Linked DNA regions of Struthio camelus. The protein of the gene in region 1 interacts with the protein of each later gene in a biochemical or structural test. Links are inferred from orthologs where the notes say so. Each region holds a gene or a part of one and is shown on either strand. Other genes may lie near its edges.

What was found.
Region 2: the proteins of RB1 (region 1) and RBBP7 form a complex in vitro, tested with the Homo sapiens proteins (3 studies listed by BioGRID). The link is inferred for Struthio camelus from reciprocal best matches to the Homo sapiens genes RB1 and RBBP7.

What each region holds. Positions count from the first base shown.
Region 1 is NC_090942.1:192,180,846-192,187,996, reverse strand, and holds the start of RB1 (retinoblastoma-associated protein), read right to left. Parts: upstream 3,008-7,151; 5' UTR 2,893-3,007; coding exon 2,777-2,892; intron 2,365-2,776; coding exon 2,247-2,364; intron 1-2,246. UniProt on the Homo sapiens protein: Tumor suppressor that is a key regulator of the G1/S transition of the cell cycle. The hypophosphorylated form binds transcription regulators of the E2F family, preventing transcription of E2F-responsive genes.
Region 2 is NC_090942.1:138,746,213-138,754,086, forward strand, and holds the start of RBBP7 (histone-binding protein RBBP7), read left to right. Parts: upstream 1-4,857; 5' UTR 4,858-5,086; coding exon 5,087-5,102; intron 5,103-5,516; coding exon 5,517-5,661; intron 5,662-7,591; coding exon 7,592-7,734; intron 7,735-7,874. UniProt on the Homo sapiens protein: Core histone-binding subunit that may target chromatin remodeling factors, histone acetyltransferases and histone deacetylases to their histone substrates in a manner that is regulated by nucleosomal DNA.

The sequences.
Region 1 (7,151 bases):
ATGAAAAAGTGTAACATCTTAAAGGAAAAAAATAGCAACTCAGACAGTTTTGGTGCTGTTGGTGGATTCAGTGGATGATGGCACTGAAGATTCATTTCAGAGAGCAACAGCTACCAACCCTTCTCCTCCCAACAGGAAGAGATCAACAAAAATTCTTAAAGCTGTTAAAGTCACTAAATAATCATTGAGCATGGCTATACCAGGTGTTTAGACCAAGTCTAAGACCATGTTTGCACCCTGAATCTCTGCCAGTTCGCACAATATCCTATATCCGGGACACTACATCAAGTCCCCTCCGTATCATTGGAGACAAGGCAGGGAGGATTCGGAAATGAACCAGGGAGCACAGGCCAGTGTGCCAGGGAATATGAAGCGCTCAGGTCTTCATGCTCCATAAACAGGTTGAGAATCATGACAGCTCTGCTCCATCAATGGTCTGATGGTTTAACTTTCCTAAAGTCAAAACAGATACGAGGTGAAACAGGAGTGTTCTGGCAGGCATTTGTCTAGACTTATGTCCTGCTATTTCCCTTTTCACTTCAGAACAGAAAGCAGCTATGTATGCAACTTCTCCTATTGCAGAATTAAACAGGTTAGCACTGAACAGCTGGTGCTTGCAGGCCAAACACAGGGGCAGCCCCTTTAAGCACATTATCTTTCCCCTAGAGGAGAAAGGAGTGAGTGGTTTAGGCAACCTCCTCCAGAGTCCTCACAACCTGAACCAGAAAGCCAGTCTGTCATAGCGAGAGGCCCTGCTCCCCATGACAACAGCTTGACTTGGAAAGAGAAGCAGCTATCAGCCAAGCTGTTAATTTGACTTCACACTCAAATAAGGCCTGCACTGATCTCAGCTAGAAGTAGCAACCTCAGGGCCTGCCAGGCTCCCAGAAGAGACATACGCTTGCCAGTTTCCTTATTTTGACACCCTGATGACGTGTCAGAAACTTGAGGATAGTGTCCAGGATAGGTCCAAAATATAATGCAGACTTTTTCCCTATACATTGAAAGGCTCTTAGGCTAGGCCTCAATTGTACATTAATTACAGGACAATAAATACTAGTCAAATGTCTTAATGAAGATCTAGTCATTGCCCTGTTCTGAATCCTATATGAGATCATCTTCAGATACCAAACAGGAGGGTTTCAAATGCCCTGTGTCTTATCTAGCCACTGCCAGGCAGTGAACAGTAAGTGAAATATGCACAATTATACTGAAAATTGTCTTGGCTTTCTCACTGAATAGGACTAACTACTTCTGTTTCACTTCATAGAGAAGCTTGACTATGCTTTGGAGTATATGTACCCTGAGGACACCCAAGGCCAGAAATTGTATTTGTTACTGCAAGAGCCGTACACAGTCTCTCTCCAGCACCATTACTGTACTGTGTTCTAAAACTCACAAACACATCAAGAGCTAGTATACCATACTGCAATTTTAAAAGCACAGGAAATGAGATCTGACAGATCAGTTCAAGATACAGAAGAATAAACAGAAGTCGCAACAAAGACATAGATGTTAGCCTATGCTAGACCTCAGACTAGGGCTAGTTTCCAAGCTGGGTATTTTAAACTCTAACTCAGATCTGCATAACAAAGCTTCAGTCACGATTTAATTGTACTGTAGCTGTTGTCTGAGTCAACTTATTCAGCCAGCAGTAATTCACTGAGCAAAAAAATGAAGGGAGGGCATAACATTTACACATGCCCAATGACTAACTTTGAAGATACCTCAGTCACAACTGCATCCAGATTAACATTAGCGTGCAGTGAAAAAAGAAAAGGCAGTTAAATATACCAACATCACTTTTCTGTAACACTTTTGTCCAGACCCTTTCGGCAACCTCATTAAGGGCAGTGGGTGGTGAGAAACAGATGATCTGTATAAAAATGACTCAGACATATTTGAAATAGCTTGTGGTCTGAAGAATTAAATGATCACATGGTATTGTTTTCTACTGTCATTTATTGTTAAGCTGAAAGAATTCACCATTCCCTACTTTTATTAGGCTATATTAACAAAAAGGTAAAGGTATATAAACTATTTTGTGCAGATATGTACACAGTAACATCTGACTTCAGTTAGGCTGCCCAGGGGGGTGGGGGGGGGAGGTAGGGGAGTGACACTGCACGAGCATCAGCTGCAAGTCACCAAGCCCTCAGTCAAGCAAAGCTACAGTTTAATATTTGAACTCAAATACAGGGCAGTTATTACAATATAATTATGAGCTACAGATACCAGGTACTCACTAGAGATCCATCTACAGATGATAAGCTCTCATATGTCTTCCAAGCTTTCTCTTTCACATTGTTTGATACTTTCAGAACATCACAGAGTACAACAAAGTCACTTTCTCCAATTTCAAGCCTAAGAAAAAGGGGAAAATATTACTCGTAGCATCCCAGTGCAACACACCAATTTACCGGACTACACACCTCAACAGGGGTTACAGAACATTAAAGTGCAACTCTGATGCAGCCTGACTTGACGCATCACTCTCTGGCAAGGCCATTCTGCTCTGCAAGCCACACAGGAGCTAAGGAAGAAAAATAACCCCCGGGCACGTATACAGAGAGCTCAAGACAGCACAACAACAGGCAGCCGGAGCCACGCAGATGTACAGGGAGGCACCTGAGCCACGCTAACGGCTTGCTAAAGTTTCTCTCTCCCCCCCTCCCGCCCCCACGAACGCCCCGCTGAGGAGGACGCGCTACTCGGAGCGCCAGCCCCCGCCGCTACCGCCCGACCCTCCCCGCAGCAGGTGCCCGGCGGCGCTTACCGGGGGGCGGCAGCGGCGGCGGCAGGCGGCGGCGGGGCGCTGCTGGAGCCGCTCTCCGGGCTGGCCCGCTGGCTCCTGGCGGCGGCGCCCCCCCGGCGGGGGGGCTTGGGCGGCATGGCGGCGGCGCCGCGCGCGCGAGGGCGGCCGTTGGGCCCCGCCGTTTAAACGCCCGCCGAGGGCTGCAGTAACGACCGATCGGTCGACCGACCGACGGCCGGTTCGGCGCCCCTCCCCCCTCCGCGCACAGCCGCCACTCAAACCGCGGCAACCCTCGCGTCACCGCCAGCCGCTCCGTCGTCACTTCCGGGCCGGCGGCGGCCGCCGCTCTATCCCCCCCCCTTCCTCCTCCTCCTTTCACTGCCGGGCGGCGGCGGGGACGCGCGCCTTCGAAACGCAGACCGGCACGACGACGGCGGCGGCGGTCTGCGCTCGGAAACCCGGAAGCAGAAGCCGCCCGCGCAGGGGGCTCAGCCAATGAGCGCGCTTCCTGCCTCACGCTAGCCAATAGGAGCTGCCTTTGCTTCGTGCGTCCCGGCAACTAGAGCGAGGGCTCGCCAAGGCGGGCCCCGCCCCCGCCCCGCCCCGCCGTGCCGGGTGGGGGCGGGGCGCGGCCCGCTGAGGCGGTGCCGGCCGCCCCGCAGGTACCGCAGGGGCGGGCGCGGTGGCAGCCGGCGCTCAGCCCCTGCTCGGCAGCGGGACACCGCTACAAATCCCGCCTGAAGCTTTTTTTTTTCAGCAGTTGCAGCATAACCCCTCCCTCTTTTGTCCCGTTTCTTGCTGTCTTAGGGCCGCTGCCGTCGAGGAAAACTTCCCACCTCACAAATGGCAAATCACAGGATCACAGAACGGTTGAGGTTGGAAGGGACCTCTGGAGATCATCCAGTCCAACCCCCCTCCTCAAACAGGGTCCTCTAGACCACGTTGCACAGGACCCTGTCCAGAAGGCTTTTGAATATCTCCAGTGAAGGAGACTCCACTACCTCTCTGGGCAACCTCTTCCAGTGCTCTGTCACCCTCGCAGGCAAGAAGTTCTTCCTCACGTTCAGATGGAACTGCCTGTGGTTCATTTGGTGCCCGTTGCCTCTTGTCCTGTCACTGCACACCACAGAGAAGAGTCCAGCCTCATCCTCTTGACACCCCCCCCCTTTCAGATACTTGTACACATTGATGACATCCCCTCTCAGTCTTCTCTTCTCCAGACTGAACAGGCCCAGCTCTCACAGCCTTTCCTCAGAGGAGACATGCTCCAGTCCCCTCCTCAGCTTTGGAGCCCTCCGCTGGACTCTCTCCAGTAGTGCCATGTCTCTCTCCTACTGGGGAGCCCACCACTGAAAACAGGACTCCAGGTGAGGCCTCCCCAGGGATGAGGAGAGGGGCAGGATCACCTCCCTCCACCTGCTGGCAACACTCTGCCTAATGCACCCCAGGAGACCCTTGGCCTTCTGGGCCACAGGGCCACATTGCTGCCTCATGCTGAACTTGTTGTCCACCAGCACTCCCAGGTCCTTCTCCGCAGAGCTGCTTTCCAGCAGGTCAGCCCCCAGCCCTGTCCTGGTGCATGGGGTTCTTCCTCCCCAGGTGCAGGACCCTGCACTTGCCTTTGTTGAACTTCAGGAGGTCCCTCTCCGCCCACCTCTCCAGCCTGTCCAGGTCCCTCTCAATGGCAGCACAGCCCTCTGGTGTGTCAGCCACTCCCCCCAGTTTAGTGTCATCAGCAAACTTGCTGACGGTGCACTCTGTCCCTTCCTCCAGGTCATCGATGGATACATTGAACAAGACTGGACCCAGGACTGACCCCCGGGGGACACCGCTAGCTACAGGCCTCCAACTAGACTCTGTGCCACTGAGCACAACTCTTCACGACCACGTCCTTCATGACAATCTCTGAATTGGATATTCATCCGAGTCCCACCTAAAATACTACTTTTAACAGTGTGCGTTGCAGTTATGTTTGGTTTAAAAAAAAAAAAAAAAGTCCTCAGTCTTTGATCCACGGATTTAAGAATTAACCCTGTTGTCCGCAGTCGCCCACCCGCTGGGAGATGGCCCATTTCTGCTGCCAGTTAGCACATTTTCTGTCAGGCTTCTGCGGTGGCAACTTGTTCCAAAAAGTAAAACATATTTGAGGACATGGATATGGAAGGACTCTTACATGTCTGCATTGATCATTCATCTGTAAAGCAAGCAGTTTTAAATCCAAAAGTTTAATAGCAATCTGACTAACAAAATGTGAGCACTACCAGTAAACGATTAAAAAAAAGCAGTATTTTAAGGGTCACAGGTTTTATTGATTTGCATGGCTTTTTCTTTATTAACTTTTCACTTAAAAATAGCAGAACAGGCCATTTTTCTGATTCATATTAGAATTAAACAAGTTACAGTAAAGTGAATACAGAACCAATGGGATTTCTGAGGCAAGTCAAGGTTCATAAACTTCAAATGAAATGTTTCATTCGTAAACTGCAGTAGGACATTCCTTACCATAATTCCAGCAAAACTGTAACTTTACCCTTCTAAGCATATTTAAGGAATTTCTTGTAATCAGATGACACCAGATGCTGTCAAAGGTTCAGAGGCTAGGACTACAGATGTCACCTACAGCTGAAGATTTGTAGGCAACTAGGCAGATAAGGTTAGCTAAACCTCCACGTGTGGTTAGCTAAACCTCCATGTGTGGTTAGCTAAACCACACGAGTCTCTTGCCCTTCCGTCACGACGGGCTTTATGAGCTCAAAAGAGCAAAGCAACCCGAAACGCGGTCACAGCCAGCGCAGACCCTCCCAGCTGTCCACAAGAGGAAAACCTGCCCTCCTGGGCAGCTTCCCTCCTAGCTGCTTCCACACACTTTCATAGCCAAGCCCAAGATCATCCGAGCAACGGGCAAGGAATGTGTGTTGCTCTCGTAACCCCTTGTGCGTTACCACTTGGTGAACATCGGGCCCTGTTAAAGGGCTGCCAACCAATGCCAGGGCAAATACTAACTTTCTAGAATTGTCCGTGTGTCAAACACCCTCTTGAATCAAGTTTTATGCGCCTTCTCCTCAAGCGACGAGAGCTCAGGACTCTCCATAAGCAGGAGCAACCAAAAATATCTCGTAGATGCTTAAATTTGCAGCTTATGAGAACAGGAGGAGCAGCAGCAGCAGCAGCGGGGAGGCAGCAGATGAATCAAGCTACAGTAACCTTCACTCCATCCCAGAGCCTCAGCTGTATTAACTTTACATCTAAACTGCAATAAGATCGCATGTGTACATGTATGTACCTCCTAAAAAAAGCACATGCATATGTAAGATTAGATGTAAATTGCTGCTTTTTTTTCCTTGTTAGATACATTGATTTGATAGTTTTAACCTTGGGTTTTAAGTCATTTAACCTTGTATTTTAAGTCATTTTCTTTTAAATGGAGCCTTTGGACTCTTGAATAAAATGACAAAGGAAGGAAAAAAGCAGCTCTTCTCGAAAAAAAAAAAAGTTAAAAGACTGCAAGGTCACAGCATTAATCATAATTTCTCATCTGGCCTGACAATATCTTTGTTCTAAATATCTTGCTACAACAGCTTTTAAAGAGCAGGTCATAGCCAGATGGAAGTCTGAAACATAGCCCAGTCAGGCAGCCCTGACTCATTGTTTCCAGCTGCTAAACAATCTTAAGTAATGTTATCATCTTAATTCTTTTTTTCAACTTAAAAACTGTTGCTATAGTTTCACAGTAATTGCCAGTGGGAATGGAAACCATGCGTTCATTATAAGCAAAACCAACCCTTTTTATTCTGACCCTTAATGCTCAGGCATGTTAGTAACTTGCAACTTCTTTAGTTTTCAGAAATCAAGTTTTCCCTCTACCAGAAATATTTCATTTTTATTTCATCCAACTTCATGGTCTATCAGGACTAGCTGCTTGTTTCTGCATTAGTACAGATCGACATCCACCACCTAAGCTAGAGTTCTGATAAAGTCATTTCTTCTTGGAGATACATGAAATTAATGTATTTCTACTAAAATCACTAGACTGCGATCTTCTGGATATTAGTGCTAGTATTGATTAATGACAGAATTTTTGCTTGAATAATGGCTATACAGTTAGGCTGTAAAATTCACAGATTATGAAAATATTGTTCAAGAATTATCCTAGACAAAAGCAATGGCAAATTAGAGGAAGAAAATGATTGAGATTGCATTACCTGGGGATAAATAGTGTCTTTTTTTTCCCCTAGGAAACCAAAGGGAGTTTTGCGCAGATCACAAATGGGAGAAGGAGTTTCTTGGTGCCGCGTGCGTTGTCTGCTACCAGTTGCTGCTGTGCAGCTTGCCGTTCTCCACAGGAATGGTACCCTAGCCATTTTAAATGACCTTTGGTATTTGAGAAGGCTTCAGC
Region 2 (7,874 bases), about 53 Mb from region 1:
GGGATGAACAGTGGGAAAAAGGATGCAGTCACATTTCAGGAACTTCTGGATGGATAGTTGCATCAATTTATCTGAGGTATGCTTTGCTTATCTGCATATTTGACGAAAACAATGCTTTATTCCAAGCAAACCCTGAAGACTAAGCAATGATAGTAAATATTAGAGAATACTAAATGCTGCGGCTGCTCTTTTACTTTTTCGGTGTGCACTTCTGAGGTTTTGTGCAAACTTGATTGCCTTCAAAGAATTTTCTAACTGAGATGGTCATTTATGGTAATACCTACATCTACTTGCTGAGTTGTCGTTATGAACCTTCATCTGCTCTGCATAATGTATAAGCTGTAAGCATCAGCAAGCCAGCTAATTCTTTGCAGAGTAATAAATCAGCGCACGTCTTTGAGCTGGAAATTAGTAAATGCAGATAATTCCTCACAAGGATATCTGGCAATTTGATGCACAATGCAGAACATACAATCAAGGATGCAGAAGATAGTGGGTTTTTTCTTTTTTTTTTTTTACTGAAATGAAAACACAATATTTCATGCTTAGGTGTGAAAGCAGTATAGCTTAATAAAATAAAGCTTATCATTCAAGTCACTGTTGTACGTCACAACTAATTTATCATCCATTTCACACAAACTGCATGTGATGAACAGTGGCCTTTGATAATTATTTTCCTTATAAAGTGCTGGAATCAAAGGACATGTTTTAAATGTTTGGTCACAGATATCACCTTGCTGGTGAACCCCAAATAGCCAGCCTTAAGTGGCTGATATGCATTCTTGGATAGTTGTAATGTTTATAAACTGTCTTTTCCATAGCAATCTTGATAGGCGAAAAGCACTTAATAGCAAGATTGTTGGTGTGTTTGCATATAAATTAAAAGAAAATTTGGCTGTGTGCAAGTATAGTTGCTAACAAAGGAGAAGATAATTGCACAGGTCACTTAGGGACTATTTTGACAAATAGGTGTAACAGATTTTTTTCATCAAAACTGGTACTGCTCCTCACAGTCCACTAAAATGCAACTTGACTTGCAGAGTCTAAACAACTGAGTCTTCCAAAACTGGTGGGGGGGGGAGGGGGAAGGGGGAACTTTCCTCTCTTAATTTAGAGTTTAATCAAGCCCTACATTACATCACTGAAAGACAATTTTGTCTACCTTTCTCCAAAAATAAATCACACTTTGCCAATTATATTCCAGGTAAGCCGTGGTGGAAAACCACTGCTGTTCACAGCCAAATGCACACACAATATCCCACCCAATGCTCAGATCGGCTTGATCCTTCAAGGGGCCATGTAATTAAATTTCATCAAGAGCTAACAGAACTCACTTAGAGCCAAGAAGCCTGACAGAGATTTCCTTTATTCAGTATCTGAGTTTTAACAGATCAGCACTCTGCACCACCACACAGGCTCTGAAAAGCTCAATCTTCACCCTCCCAGCATTTCAGGAAGGCCTCAGCACTTTGTAGGTTTAGACACATACTTGGCAGCAGATATCAAAACAACTAATAAGTGTTGCCAAAAGCAAGTTGGTAACTCACCTTGTACGATCAAGGTCCTATGTCTGTGTTAACATACTCACTAGTGCATTCCTATGTAGCAGATTATTCTGCAGCTTCCAATTAATTCAACAGAATTCTCATTTTCAATAAGTAAGCCATACATAGCTTTAATTCCAATTTGTGCAGGTTCAAGAAGATTAGTATATGGTTATTTGGCTTCTTCACCAGAACATTTCTGTTTTTCAGCACTTTGGCCCATAAAGGAACGGTTCATTACAAACGCTTCCTGTTCAAGGAGCTGGCTGTCTACTCCAGCCTTCTCCTTCAATTCCCATGCTACAACCTTTGGCTGCTGTTACTAGCCTCTGCGCTCCCCAGCCTCTCCTAGACATAAACATTTTCCATAACTGGATTCCTTCTTTGAAACACTGGAGTCCAGACTATAGAGGGCTCAGTCCATGAGGAGTTCCTCACAGAGTGAATATAAAAATCCTGGCTCTTACTTGGCTGTGCAAGTAAGCCTTCTCTCTTGCCACAATATCGCTAGCTGAGCACAATGATCTCCGCTACAGAGCTAATTTCAGCCCCTTCTGGGGCTCAAGGCCTTACCAATATAGGATTCTGCTTCCTGAGTTTAATATCAAAGCACTGATCTAAAGACTTTAAGTCACCACATGATAAAAGAACTCATGCAATGTGGAAGCAGAACGTTCCTCTGATTTTTTAGGGGCATTTGGGAGAATTTAGCCTGATTCCTAACTGCCTCTATTTCCATTATTCTGTTGGAAGGTGCTATTAACTGCCCTCAAGATCTGCTCTGGTTAAGGCTATTTTATATGCCAAGTGCTGTTTATTCAAGCTTAATAGAAAGCAGTTAAATGAAATGGCCTTTTGGTTAGTACTCGCTGAAACAAGAGAAGAGACTAGAAAGGTTGGGCATGTCCTGGCAAAGCCATACATTTGATTTGTATGTGACTGCTTAAAAGAAGCTGTGTCACTCACCACAGACAATACTTCTGACCCTAACAGACAGCTGTAGGATTTAAAACTTCTGTAATCCTGACTGATATTATGTGAGTGGGAAGTCAAGAATGCGGCTTAGTTTATTGGCATGCCTTTATTGCAACTCAGCAAACTTTCAAACAGGTATTTCTTGCAGCAAAATAAAAAAAACATATCTTCAGGCGCCATTGTTGAAAAATAGTAACTATTTAGCAGTGGTCTCTATAGCCATTTTTACGTATATTTTCTGAGCTGTGAAGTGGGCTTAGTATCTGAGTTTGTAGTGCAATTTAGGGCTTATTAGTTAAGACATACTAAATGACGTCAACCACCATTCTTTGCTGTTGCACCTAAGTTTGTTTCAAATGTATAGAGGCCGCCTGATAGTTGCTGGATCTCCAAGAAATTTTCGCTTTACTACCATCGCCCCAAATAGACATACATCCTGGAGCATGGACCAGAATAGGGTGTAACCGACACCGAGCAAAGAAACTTCCGCGGTCAGATCCTGCTTCTTGTGCAGGGAGTTGAGACCACCTCCTTCCTCGCCTGGCTCTGCAGCCCGCATGCGGCTGCCCGGTGTGACAGTAGTGCCACCTCCTGCTCGGCCCGCCGAACTGCACACCGCAGTCTTGCACATCTCCCCCCCCACCCCGCGTCTTTCCCTTCTTCTTCTTTATGCCCTCTAATCCCGTGGCTTCCCGATTTCAGCTACCTCTGTTGGCTTACATAAGACTAATGTCTGGTTTTCATTCCGGCTGAGATTGTTTTTTAACTTATGTTAAATATGTCGGCTGTTTTTTCCCCTTTTATGACTAGATTACCGTTTCTGATTGGTAAAAGGGAATATCTTGTATTTTGGGTATTTCTTTAGAAAGAGTCCATTTGTTTTCATTTTTCTTCTCGTTCACTGCACTGTTCCTCCTTTCCGGATCTGTGCAGAGTTGCATTCATGAAAACTGACAAATGAGTTAAGTACCATTATCACTTCTGTTTCCCAATTCCTACTTCCCATGTGCAATCAGCGATTACGCACTTGGTAACTCTGCCTTAGCGTTGCAGTAACAAATAAGGTAGTATAAAGAAGAGAGCCATAATAGTCTTTTCATTCCTCATCTACTCTTGAGTGCTGTACGGATTTTAATACTTCCAGAATTTCGAATTTTTAGTTTACCCCTCTCCTCGGAAGATCAGTGTAAATCACGTTTGTGAATAATACTTGGGTACTTTGATCCTCTACAGCGCTACTGAGGGGAGTGCTTCCCATTTTGATTTCTGGCAATACCCACGCTCGTTCTTCTGTTATCAAAAGGGAAGGTGCTTGTGCTCTTTGCAGTAATTGTGCCTGCAATTACTGCAGGGGTACCGCGTGGCTCTCAAAACTGTGCGCCAGGCGTCCCCTCGGGGTATTGTCCGAGTGGCGAAACCTATTATTAAACGGGAGGTCTACCGTGCTTACTCTGCATTATGCATGACTCTGAACAGCTCGGTATAGGGGCTTTTCGGCAGCCAAGATGTCCTTTTTCTAAATTGTATTTTTTTAGCAATTCCAAACTCTTGGTGAACAGATCATGAACACCAAATCCCTGCGTTTAAAGCATGCTCCTTTCATATGTCTCCGCAGGATGAACTCAGCTTGTTTTAGATGTTCTGAGGCAACTTTTGAACCGAACTGGCAGGTTGCTCTGTAACGCCTTTAAATGCGGTTAAAAAGCAACAAAAGCCGTTTGCCAACTCGCACAGCAGTACCGTCGGCGGTTTATTTTACTTAAGGCCCCACCTCGCGGCATATACACGTCCACGCCAATCTTAACCTTCTTCTGAATAAAAAGCCGCGCACTTGCGTGAAACCCTGGCTCCTCCTCGCCCTCCGCGACCCACTCAGTAACGCCGGGGGACCCGCCCGTGACACGGGCACGCCTGGGCGTAGCGACTGCCCGCTGCCAGCGCGGAGCCGGGCTCTGGGCCGAGTCCAAGCGCTTTCCTGGACAAGGAGGCGCGTGTCAGCCGGCCGCGAAAAGCCCCAGGGCCCCTGGGAGCCGTCCGTCCGCCAAGAGCCCCCTGCCCTCTCCCGCCCCGCCCGCCCTCGCAGTGGATTCAAGGGGTCGCAGAGCGCCGGCGCGCGCTTCCGACCGTTAGGCGCCGGGCGCCCACCCCCGCCCCGCCCCACGCGTGTGCTCAGCGCGCGCAGGCGGGAGGGCGAGCGAGGGGGCGCCTCCTCGGAGCGCCCCGGCCGGACTCGCAGCCCCGTCTCGCGCCAGCCGTTGAGCGAGCGAGCGAGCGCGCGCGCGCAGCCCTTTCGCCCTCCCCATTGGCCGCCGCGGTGGGTGGCGGCGTTCCGGGCGCCGCGGAGAGGGCGGGGCGGCAGCGCATGCGCGGTGCCGCCGCCGCCGCCGCCAGGCGCGGGTTGGGCATCGGCGGGGCGCCTGACGCGCGGGAGCGGCCGCGGCCGTGGCAGCGGCAGCGCCGCCGCGTCCTCAGCTGCGGCGCGAGCTGTGCCCCCTCCCCCCCTTCCCCGCCGCTAGCCGGTACCTCCTGCCCCTCACCTCGCCTGCGCGCGCACACACACGCCCAAAATGGCGAGCAAGGAAGGTAGGAGAGCACCCCCCCCCACCACCCCGCCTCCTCCTCCTCCTCCTCCTCCTCCTGCTGCTGCCCGGGCTGCGTGGGGCGGCCGTGCGTGAGCTGGGAGGGCGCGAGCGGAGGCACCCGCGGCCTCTCTCGCGGGGGCCTTCTGGCTGGGCGGTGTTGGCGGGGGGGGGGGTAACTGTCGCTCTGCCTCCGGTTGCCCCTCAAGAGGGTTTCGGGGCCCCTCTCCGCACCTTCACCCCGCCCAGCCCCGCGGCGCGTGGCGGGCACCGCCCCTCTCCCACCCCACCTCGGTGGCACCTCCCCCCACCCCCACCCGCGCAGCCCCCGGCGCGTGGCGGCGCCGCCCCCGCCTGGCGCGGCGCGCGCTGAGCCGTTGGCTTTTCCCCCTCTCCCCCCCCGCCGCCCCTCGCCCAGCGCTGGAGGACACGGTGGAGGAGCGCGTCATCAGCGAGGAGTACAAGATCTGGAAGAAGAACACGCCCTTCTTGTACGACCTGGTGATGACGCACGCCCTGGAGTGGCCCAGCCTCACCGTCCAGTGGTTGCCTGACGTGACCAGGTGAGGGAAGGAGAGAGAGAACTTGCTTGTCCTGCCGCTCTTTCGGTCGCTCTTCGCGGTGTCTGCTAGGTAATTGGAAGGTGAAACCGCAAGAGACTAGAATAATGTGGATTAGGCTCGTCTCGCAGTAAGCTTGTAACAGTTCATTTTACTTACAGCTCTCAAAACCCTTTGGATAGACAGAAGCTTTGAAGGGGAAAAAAAGGTACATATTGATACTGTAGAGAGCTCTAGCCTGACACAGCAAGATCTGCCTTGAGACGGCAGGGAAGAAGTCTTCCTTACTTTATTTTATTGATATGTAAGAGACCTAGCTGTTCTGCAGTAGCTTCTATTCAGAGAAAGAACAAACTTACTAAACTTTTACATGAATAATATTTTTCCTCATGTGCATTACCAATTACTGTTCTGTAGAAGATACACTTTTTTTTTTTTTTTTTGGGTCTGGCCAAATTTAAGGGGATGTTGCTCGGTAGAGACTGTGGCCCTTAATATCCTGCTTCTGTCCCTGGCATCGTTGACCTCAGATAACTTAACTTTCCCATTCTTCTCCCTCCCCCTAAAAGTTTGTTGGGTAGCTGGTTAATTTCTTAAAGAATTTTTAAGAGAGAGATGGATTCTCTTGATGTCCCAGCTACTAGAAAACTTAAATTCTCAGAGTAATCACTCAGGACTCCACAAAGTTAATGGACAGGTGTGGGTCCCTCATGCTGCTGTATCACAGATACAGCTTGGCTTTAAAATCTTACCCTTAAAGTTCATGCAGTAAAAAGAGGATGATCTTTTTCCTCTTTAAAATTCCACTTGCATAAGTGGCGTTATATGTGGTGGTTAGGTGATCACTTAATTTTGAATGCCAGGACGTTTGGGGAAGATGTGGAGAGATGTGAGCTAACTATTCATGGCATGGAGAAAATGAAATGGGGAATTTTTCTGAGGGTATGGAGCCCTTATGAGGAACACTTCTGCTTGCCTCATATTTTGCAGATTGACTTAATATTCAGTTAAAAACCTGATATTTCCAATTACCCAGTGTCAGAATATGTAAGCCATATAAGGCAAGGACTGTCTCTTTGTATGGCACCTGACATGATGGGACACCTATTCCTAATACAAGTAAGTGTGTGTGCATTGTGTGTTTTTTATTTTATTTCCCCCCCTCGCCCCAATTGTATGGTGATGCCCTGGAATAGGTGTAATAATACTGATGATGTTTTTTGATTGCCCACGTGATTCCTATTTCCTCTTTGCTTGGGTTCAGATAGCAGAATTAATTTATTGCTTTCAGGAACGCAGAAGTTGCTTGTTTTTATTTGCGTGTTCCAATTTTCCTTTCTCAGATATATGACACCGTCTCTCTGACCTTTCACTTATTACTAACTATTGCATTTAACCATCAAAAGGAATTTAATTATAGTTAGCTAGGGTTTGTGCACTGTTTAAAAATCAACTTCTGAAAACTGTAACAAAATACCAACTGGTAAAAGCATATTGAAAGGAAAGTAACTGAAATAGATTGCTGCTTTTCTCGGGTTTTGTTTTTTATAGAACATAGTATTGCTTGTCTTCCAAATTGATACTATGAGATTGCAAGGAGAATTAAAAATAGGAGTAATTACTAGGCAAACTTTAATTATCCTATTCGAGCAATAGCGGCAGTGTTTGTTGACTTATATTGTCACTCTTGGCTTGCTGGATGTATCCTTGGCTTGCTTATGTCAGGTAATTTAGTTCACTTATTAATTCACAAGTCTGTTGTGGTAAAGCAAGGGATCTCGTACTTGAATATTTTTGTTTTCTGTGGGTTTGTTTTGTTTTACTTTTTTAAATCTTCCTGCAGAAGTCTGGATCTTCAGGGTTACTGATACTAACCAATAAACTTTTGGAAATGAGCTCTTTAATTTTATTCTGTTTTTATTACTCTAAACAGGCCAGAAGGAAAGGATTATGCTCTACACTGGCTGGTTTTGGGAACACACACCTCTGATGAACAGAACCACCTGGTTGTTGCAAGAGTCCAGATTCCCAATGATGATCAATTTGATGCTTCTCAGTATGACAGTGAAAAAGGAGGTGGGCTCTGCATGCGTTTTTAGATGGTGTTCTAGCAGTAGTATTAACAAATGTCCTGTCCAATGGTATTCTAACTTGATCTTGTGTAGTAAAGCTGACATACTTACGACTTTACGCTAATTCTGCATCATTCATAGCAA